2 linked regions of the Danio rerio genome follow. The protein of the gene in region 1 interacts with the protein of each later gene in a pairwise test. Links are inferred from orthologs where the notes say so. Each region holds a gene or a part of one and is shown in the gene's direction. Other genes may lie near its edges.

Region 1 (5,115 bases):
GCATTTTATTCAAACAGTAAAATAAATAATATGTTTATAGTCATTTTTTTGTGTTAATTACAATTTTATTCATTGTTCTTATCACTTGTTAATTGTAGTGTACACTACCTGACAAAAGTCTTGTCGCCTGTCCAAGTTTTAGGAACAACAAATAATAACTTGATCTATAGTTGATCACTTGGTATAGAAAGTGGCTTATATGAAAGGCAAAGGCGTCTAGATTATGATTATTTTAGCAAAATAAAATATGATCATGCCTTGATTTTTAATTATTTAATTAAGGTCTGACTTTGCTTAGACAAAAGTCTTGTCATTAACAGAAATAATGTCCAGTATAGAATATTAAGTCATGCTGCAGTGGAAAATAATGAATATTGTGTATGACTCCATCATGAGCTTGGAGGACTATTAATAAAGTCATCTGGAATGGCAAAGAACGCGTTCTTGCAGGACTCCCAGAGATCATCATGATTGCTTTGGATTCATCTTCAGGACTTCCTCCATCTTCATCCCCAGACATGCTCAATAATGTTCAGTTCTGGTAACTTGGCTGGTCAATCCTGGAGCACCTTGACCTTGCTTACTTTTAGGAACTTTGACGTGAAGGCTGAAGTATGAGAAGAAGCGCTATCCTGCTGAAGAATTTGCCCTCTCCTGTGGTTTTTAATGTAATGTACAGCACAAATGTCTTGATACCTCAGGTTGTTGATGTTGCCATCCACTGCAAATCTCTTGCACGCCCCTATACTGAATGTAACCCCAAACCATGATTTTTCCTTCACCGAACTTGACTGATTTCTCTGACAATCTTTGATCCATGCTGTTTGCAATAGATATTCTGCAGCATTTTTGATGATTTAAATGCAGATCAACAGATGATTCATCTAAAAAAAAATAAAATAATAATCTACCTTCTGCCACTTCTCCAAATGATCAACTAGAAGTGAGGTATTATTTGTTGCTCTTACAACTGGGCTCGACGACAGGACTGTCAGGTAGTCAGTGTACTTTATTTTGCACCACGAACGTGAGTTATTTCAGTTAGGTTGCAGAAGTGTAACTTACCTTTGCGTACTGCTCCTTGAGGGGTGCAGACAGTCTGAGAATACAGCACATCTCTGCAGTCAGTCTGAAATATAAAATAAAAGCATCTTTATTACCGAGTTTAATCTGTTCACGCGACAGGGCTATAGAGAACTAGAGAACTTACCTTTTCTGTATTAAATCTGTCACATAGTCCTTTCCTGACTTTCGCTTCCCACTGAATAACAGAATGATGCTAGGTTGTGTAGTTGCCATGGTTGTAATTACATGTGATGTGTACTTCATACTCGTGTACACAACTGACACATGTCGAGGACTACAGCCTTCAATATGAATCAGGAACCGCTTTATGTCGCTTTACCGTAACTACCAAAAAAATGTAACCTAAAAATAATATAAGCGTCTTTGGTTCTTCTGTTTGCTTAACTATTTTCTTTATTTGTGTTACTTTAAAACTTTATTGGCGTATGCGATGTTTTTTCTGTCATCTAAAAGGATATCTAAGTGAAATGTGGAAGTGTGGAAACAGGATGTTTGGTGTTTTTGTGTAGCTACGGTAATCGGACGAGTGTCACGCCATCAACTTACTGGGTATGTGCTAAATATATTTACATTTCATGTAAATAAGTTACCAGAGTGTTTTTAATTTATGCAGATATTTAAATAGTATCAGAAAAAGTTCAATAAAATAATAATCTTACATTGTTTACGTATTTATAAACACTTTTTTTCACTGACCCGGAAGTGAAACCACAAAAACGTTTGTTTCTGTATTTCATTCTTATTTGTTATTCCCCAAGTGCGGTTTATAAAGGAAATTATTTTTTAAGTGATAAAACTTGTATTTTTAAAAGTAAAATAAACCAAACATCTAAGGTGAATGCGTTATTTTTGGTTTCTGTGACCCGGAAGTTTTGAATCTGTCAGGATTGTTTTGCTTTTAGCGTCTTCTCCTTTTGTCTTTGTTTACATGTGGATAAACCGAGGATTTTTTCATTTTGGGTGAAGTTGGTGAATTCAATGTGACGCGCAGTGATGAACGGCAGCTCGAACCCGCCGCTGGATAAAGAAGAGCATGTGTTGAAGCTCGGGGACAGTTTTGAGAAGAGACCAAAATCATCCTTTCACACCATCAGATGTGAGTCCATCAAGAGAGACATAACATGCGTTATTCAAAGTATATCCCAACTAGAAATTTTCAGTTCTCTACATGCTCTAAGCATATTACCAAGCAATGTTGCATTACTGTTTTCCGCGGGTAGTTTTGTTTTAGTTCCCAGAACATTCTCTTAAAACAGTGCTCACCAAACTTGTTTCTGGAGGGCCGGTGTCCAGCAGATTTTAGCTCCAACCCTAATCAAACACACCTGAACAAGCTAATCAAGGTCTAACTAGGTATACTTGAAACATCCAGGCAGGTATGTTGAGGCAAGATGGAGCTAAACCCTGCAGGGACACCGGCCCTCCAGGACCAGGATTGGTGACCCCTGTCTTAAAAGATAGGAAAACATTTTCTATAATAATATTAACCACATTCGCACACCTTCAAATCTAATACTTCTTTGCTAAAAGGAAATAGGCCAATAAACCACTTTTTATAGCAATACGTTTATTAAAAAAAAAGTTATATTATCAAATATTCATCTTAAAAAATATTTTTTGTTTTAGTAATGTAATTTATTCAGCCAGGATTTAGTGAACTCACAATATTTTGTAAAAAACAGAGAAATTATTTCAGTTCTTATATATATAAAAAGGCCTAAATAGATGCAAGGTCATTCAAATATTTTGCTCTTCTCTGACTAACACACAGGTGTCAAACTCAGTTCCAAAAAGGCCGCAGCTCTGCACAGTTTAGTTCCAACCCTAATTCAACACACCTGATCAAACTAATTGAGTCCTTCAGGCTTGTTTGAAACCTACAGGTAAGAGTGTTGGAGCAGGGTTGGAACTAAACTGTGCAGGGCTTCGGCCCTCCAGGAATTGAGTTTGACACCCCTGGACTAACACAAATACTTGCGACTGGTTCATGAGATCAGTCAGGGGTGCGTTTCCCAAACAATGACGTAACTCGCGGCTTCATCATGTGATGCATAGTTTGGGAAAAGAACAATTGAATGTAGTGACGAGTGTTTCCCAAAACCCATAGTTTCTCTGTCACAGATCCATCGTTTGAACCATGGTATTAATAACGTAAAATGCCCATAATGATGCTGTAAATGGCGTAGAGTAACTACTTCTTTAGAGAAAAACCCATCATTTCTTTGTGCAAATTATTTTGTTTTACACAAACACGCATTTAAAAAAAATCCAATATTAGGTTAGGTAAAAACATGCACTTGTTTTCCATAGTAACTTAAATATATGTAAATTGAACATACAGGGCATGTGATTCCTTTACAAATATTATTAAGAACATTACATATTCTATTGTAAGACATAAAACCACTTAAAAAAGCGAAAATGCATTTTGATATCATATATAAATAAATAAATAAATAAATAAATAAATAAATAAATAAATAAATAATGAGGCTATTTATTGAGAAATGAAATTTTATATTCATTATGTATTAAAAAAATATACCACTTTAATAAAATTAATGATAATGACAATTATTATTATTATTAATAAGTAGGATATTGTTTGCTTATTTATTTAAAATTTTTTGAAAAGTCTACTTTTACAATTTGACATGAGAACCACAACAGAAATGTGCTAATCAACAGGCCCTTGTCATATACAGTACAGATACTTAATAAATTACCCACTATAAATTAAAATCTTTAACGCATGCTGTGTTTTTTGTTTTCACAAGCTTTGGAGACGTAACATAAATTCTGCTTTTAAATAATAGGTCACCTATAGCTTTAGTCATGAGCCGCGGCTGTGTTCAAAATGACATCAATGTTTTCAAAGTGCACTGCGGAGGGACACAATTGTCAATTTGAAAATTTTTAATACTGTGTTCACACCAGACGCGGAATGCGCGTCAAGCGCGAGTGATTAACATGTTAACATTCGCGCCGCGTTAACCAATCAGGAGCTTGCCTTGTGGGGGCGTGATTGTGACGTATCTCCTGTTGTAGGTGTCCCGGGGCTGTTTTTCAGCCTTCATAAACACATAAACACTGTTATTTTCTTCATAAAATCCATGTTAGCCATTTAGCAACAAAGCTACAGTCACCGGGCAGACAGAAGCCCTGCCTATCACGCGAATACGCGTCTGTTCTGAAGTGAATTTGACGTGCGAATGAAGTGGGGTTTGACGCTCGAATGAAGCCAGTAAACTCAAATGTTCACGCGGCTATTTACGTGCGAATAGCGCGATTTATCCGCGCGTTCCGCATCTGGTGTGAACGCAGCATACTGAACTGAAAAAATAGTTTGAAAGCAAATTATACCTAAGAGGAATGAGCTTAATGCTTTTTTAGTCATTCCAATTTTAAATATTAGAATGTTTTAAATGAAATGGGCATAGGGGGGATAGCTGGGAATAGCACACAGCCAGGAACTATGTTTCTAACTACAGCTCCAGAGGTGTAGTTGCAAGCATACAAGTTTACAACGCAGTTTGCGAATGTTTGTTGGAACGATGGATTTGGGAAACGGCTAATCATTGAAGTATGTTTGTAACGACTTTAGTTGGCTAACAATGATTTTCGGAAACGCACCCCTGATCAGCAAGTACCGATCGAGTCATTAAATGTGATTATCAGCCAATCGAAGCCCCCTACCTAAAACCAAGGCATAATTATAGAATTTAGTTTGTGAGAATGAAAACAGGCACAAAAAATTGTAGTAATGAAATGCATTGATTTTATTATTTTAGTAAAGATACATTTATTTCAATTAAATAAATAAAAAGAGAATGAAAAACTAGCTTCATTGTCGTACTGTACGTTTACAATTGTGTGCTATTCCTCCACAGATGATTTTAAACCAGCGTCTATCGATACGTCCTGTGAAGGAGATTTACAAGTGGGAAAAGGAGATGAGGTTACCATCACTTTACCACACATACCAGTAAGAGCAGCGTTCTCTTTAACATTTATATCCGCTTATGTATG
Region 2 (4,926 bases), on another chromosome or scaffold:
TATGAAGACATTAGCAAGTATACAATAGACTTGTCGAATTAAACACTTTAAACGCTTGAAAACACAAACCTTTCTCCAGCCGAACCACAAACACGGGAGCGCGGCTCGCGCCTGTGACGTCATATCGCACGACCAAAATAAAAGTCCTGTTCACGTGTTAAATTAAAGGCTTGTAGGAAGACTATTCATTCATTCATTCATTTTCTTTTCGGCTTAGTCACTTTATTAATCTGGGGTCGCCACAGCGGAATGAACCGCCAACTTATCCAGCACATGTTTACGCAGCGGATGCCCTTCCAGCTGCAACCCAGCACTGGGAAAACTATTGTATATTGTTTACAAAGAAGGAATTCGATTGGTAACATGTTTTCATTCATTAACAGTGCTCGTTTGTGAACGATTTTGTTGATACTGTGTAATATATATATATATATATATATATATATATATATATATATATATATATATATATATATATATATATATATATATATATATATATATATAATCACATAATCATCATCATTATACATAAAAACCCAGAAAGATTTGTACACCTGAAATATATTACTGACCTATTTCTGGTATATTGTTGTTTTGATTACTCATATTGCTCTCATTTTCAGTTGCTTTGAATAAACGTGTTTGCCAAATGCTTATTGAATGTATGAATTGTATGTGGCTGTTGTGGAATAAAGCTGTAACAGCTGCCACAAGCCCCTGAACATTGGCGTAAATAAGCTTTTAATAAGCTAAATCCTATTTTCTGGCACTTGAGCCAGAGAGTCACAGTAATAGATGAGATGTGCTACTGTATGAATATGTCATTTTTGTTTTTTGAGATATGATGAAAGCTGGAAAATGAAGCTCATGTTCTCAATCTTTTGTTTAGTATATCCATTATTGTAAATTTAGCAATCAGTGTAGCAATTAGTGTCCTGGGTCTGCCCCGAGGCCTATAGGTAGGCGTTCAGGAGGCTTCTGAAACAGATGCCCGAGCCACCTCAGCTGACTTCTCTGGATGTGGAGGAGCAGCGGCTCTACTCTGAGCTCCTCCCAGGTGACAGAGCTCCTCACCCTATCCATAAGGTTCATTCCGCTGTGGCGACCTCTAAGCTGAAGGAAAATGAATGAATAAATTAATATATTTCCTGTGATTGGTCTGTACATGTTTGGAGGACCCCAAGGAACCTAACACATTTTTTTTCCCCAGGGCCAGCCCGAACACCAGCCGGTGACCCACTCACACCTGCGGCTTCTCCAGGATGGACGTCCAGCGTTCTCCAGCCTCAATTGGTCAACTGGTGAAGTTCCTCCTCTGTCGCCACTGTCCTGCTTGGTTTGGGACTTGTGGAGATGCACATGGATGGATTTGCTCTTCAGTGTTTGGACTCTCAGCAGTGAAGATTCAACCACACTGAACTGAACTGAGCTCTGAACACTGGACTGACACGGCTTCAGTTCACTAGAACTTCTGTGTTCAGCTGCTGCCACACAATCTACACTGTAGAAGAGCTGGAGTTTTATTCACTTGGCTAGAAAGTGCTTCTTCATTAATGAATTAATTAAATATATTTATTACTGTGTGACATTAGAGAAGTCATAATGTTTAGTAAAAAGGTGCTGTTCAGCTGCAGGCCTGCTGTGAGTGTGTGAAGGTCTGCATGTGTGCCTGTCTGTCAGAGGGACAGATATACAGAGAGACTCGTATTACTCTCCGTCATCTAACACCTGCTGAAAACACTCACAGTGACACACACACACACACACACACACACACACACACACACAAAGTGTTCAATCCTCAGTTCAGAGCAGTCTGGTTATTACTGAGTTAAGATTATCTTCTGTGCTGAAGCAAATATTAACTTATCTGTATCAGGGTCACACCTCACTGACTGAAAACTGGGATTATAGCACAGAAACACATCATCTACAGGTGTGTATGCTTGAACTTGCTTGTTCTGATGGCATGATTTAGTGGTTGTGTGCATTTAAATCTTTTCTATGTATAGTCTAGAAAACGTTTCTGATTTGTTCCTGTAGCTCAGTTTAGTGAGAGATCCTGAATTTGTTGGCCTCAAAAAAAGTTTCCAACTCAGATATAGAAGTTGTGTGTGTGGATTTGAGGATTTCATCATGCTCTCATGTGTACAAATTAACTGTGAAACCTTTTTGTGTTCATTTATTCCATAATAAACAGGTGTATGTAGGGTGTGACATGATCATTGCACTGCATTCGCCACCCTGAAATTACTTTATTTTCAATAAGAGAACCAGAAATCTGTCTCAACACGGAGTGGACATCCTCAGATTCCCAATTTCGCACTGCAAGGTCAACATTAGAAACACCCAGTGGTGGAAAGAGTACAGTAAAATCATGCTTAAGTACAAGCACATACTTGCCTAAAACTGTAGTGCAGTAGAGTAAAAGTGTCTGCTGTAAATATTACTCAGTATAGCTTTCAAACGTACTCAAGAGTAGGGAGTATTACACTGTGAAAAGCTGATGCGTTTACATGTAACTTGCACATGTGTGTGTGTAAACGTAAGATTCTGTAGTGCATCTAGTGATTGCCCAGCAGGTACACAATGTCATAAGACGTTAATATTAGGTTAGATTTAAGTTGTGATGTCGGGAAACCAAAATTCAGTTTCTAACCAGTGCAAATCAAATGACGTTGATATTTGGTTGATTTTAGGTTTTTAGAAAGTGACCAAAATCTAATGTCGCGCCAACACCTTAAACCAACATCACATTGACGTCACATACTGATATTATTTCATCAGGTATGGCAACCGAAATCCAACATCTGATAGACGTCATAGTGGTAACGTCCACACAACGTCAAGCTGTAACATCATTAGACGTTGATTTTAGGTTGATTTCAGGTTTAACGTTAGACATTGACGTTGGCCTGACATTGAGTTCTGACGTCAAACTGATTTTCACTTCCAAACAAAATGCACTGTCTCCAAGATGTTAGTGTACAAGGTCAATCTGACGTCATGTTGACGTCTTGTGCCTGCTGGCTGTTTAAGGCCATTTGGCTCATCATATAGTAAACATTTGCCATCTTCTCATCAGTGATGTGCATCTAAACAGTCTCTGGGTCAGTGAGTGTGAAGATTGTGGACATCTTCTTTTATGCACTTTAAATGCTTCTAAACAGTTTGCTGCAATTATAAATCATCTTGAGGTAGTTCATTATGAGGTGACTTACCTTCAGTGTGTGATTTGATCAGACAGGAACCACAGGACTGATCTCTCTAATCTCCATAGACAAGAAAAAATACAGTAGTGACTGCAGGATGAAGGAAATTAGTGGAGTAAAAGTACAGATACTGCAGTAAACGTACTCAAGGGAAAGTAAAAGCCCACATTTATAAAACTGCTCTCTAAATTACAATTCCTGAGAAAACTACTTTGTTACAGTAAATTGAGTATTTGTAATTAGTTACTTTACACCACTGGAAACACCTAATCACAGCGGCTAATATGTCAGTGATCATAGCACTTTACAAACATGTGTTTACAAGTCAGAATCTAATAATTATGATGATTTGTCAAGAGAGATATGAATACTCAGACCACTTCAGGAGGTGTTCTGATGTGCATGAGAGATGTGCTCTCGTTTAAAACCACATATTATGCGCACATGACGATCCACATTTCTTACAGGATGCTCCACTGACCTGTGGGGTTCCCCAGGGCTCTATTTTGGCCCCGTTGTTATTTTCCATTTGCATGCTCCCTCTCTGATCTATTTTGAGAAAATGTGGGCATCGTTGCAGGAATTACACACCGGTTTACTTCCCAGCACACAATTTAGTTTTTAATAGACGTTTAATAGACATCTAAGCATAAACAGCTTGGCTAAAACAAGACTAAACTTGGGCTGTCAGTGAAAATCTAATAGACATCTAAGAATAGCCCAAAACTAGACTATAGTCGTCAAGTGGACAGATTAGACAGACTCTATATGTGTAGTCCTTCATTTCTGTTTATTTGATGGCTAGTCTAGTTTTAACCTATGGACGTCTATTAGATGTTCAGCCCAAGTTTATCCTTGTTTGAGCTGAGATGACATTGTTTGGACGTCTATCAGACATCTATTAGACATCTTTTAAAAACAAAAAATGCTTGCTGGGTTGCTAGTGGTTAATGTAAACGCTTTTCAGAATCAGACAGATATCTGATCAGAGTAAACGCATGAAGAGAGCAGGTGTACACAAGCTGGAGTTTTCTTGAAGCTGGTGAGTGTCTCCTGCAGGTGCGGATTTCTGCTGACTGACTGCGTCTGAAGAGGCTGGACTGATGGCTCAATATGACCAGTGAGTGTTTGACAGATTAAACAGTCTTTCAGGAGCATTATATAAGATTACAGCTATCCTAATGCTCAATGTGTTCCAGACTGGAGGATAAAGACTCGCTGGACATCCACGATAACCCTCCAGCGCCAGAGAATGTGGTGAAAGAGGACGACAACACTGTACGTATGATCACCTTCTCTTATTAGCTCTCATTCAACACACATTTGTAAATACAGGAGTGAATTATTTGTGTAGCACAAAGCTTCCTGAAAACCCTATTCACAAACACTTGTCAGAACTGAGATATATTTAAATATGAACTGTTGTTTAACTTATTAAACTAAATTAATTAATAAATAAAGGGTGTGTGCTCCCTCATTCATAATCTGCATAAACCCACCTATGCCGGAAATCAAAATGCTCTGCCATCACTTTTGATTTGATTAAATATTAGTCATTTTTAAGCCTTGTTAAATTGAACTTTAGCTACTGTTTTTGCATTCACTAACATTAACTAATGGACTATTATTGAGTAGTGTTTTCAACGTTAGTTCTGCTGGGGCTTCATAAATGAGACCTGCAGTGTGTACGGTGAGCACACAGCCGACTCGG

What was found. The genes of interacting proteins can lie anywhere in the genome.
Region 2: the proteins of eaf1 (region 1) and stac3 interact in binary tests that used the Homo sapiens proteins (3 or more experiments, as listed by UniProt). The two-hybrid records come from large-scale screens. The link is inferred for Danio rerio from reciprocal best matches to the Homo sapiens genes EAF1 and STAC3.

The regions. Positions count from the first base shown.
Region 1 is NC_133191.1:7,227,713-7,232,827, forward strand, and holds the start of eaf1 (ELL-associated factor 1), read left to right. Parts: upstream 1-2,008; 5' UTR 2,009-2,079; coding exon 2,080-2,182; intron 2,183-4,976; coding exon 4,977-5,071; intron 5,072-5,115. UniProt on the Homo sapiens protein: Acts as a transcriptional transactivator of ELL and ELL2 elongation activities.
Region 2 is NC_133184.1:262,869-267,794, forward strand, and holds the start of stac3 (SH3 and cysteine-rich domain-containing protein 3), read left to right. Parts: upstream 1-1,791; 5' UTR 1,792-1,939; intron 1,940-4,182; exon of another isoform or gene 4,183-4,274; 5' UTR 4,275-4,318; coding exon 4,319-4,335; intron 4,336-4,414; coding exon 4,415-4,493; intron 4,494-4,926. Other genes in the region: si:ch211-166e11.5 (sterile alpha motif domain-containing protein 3), read right to left, coding at 70-123. UniProt on the Homo sapiens protein: Required for normal excitation-contraction coupling in skeletal muscle and for normal muscle contraction in response to membrane depolarization. Required for normal Ca(2+) release from the sarcplasmic reticulum, which ultimately leads to muscle contraction.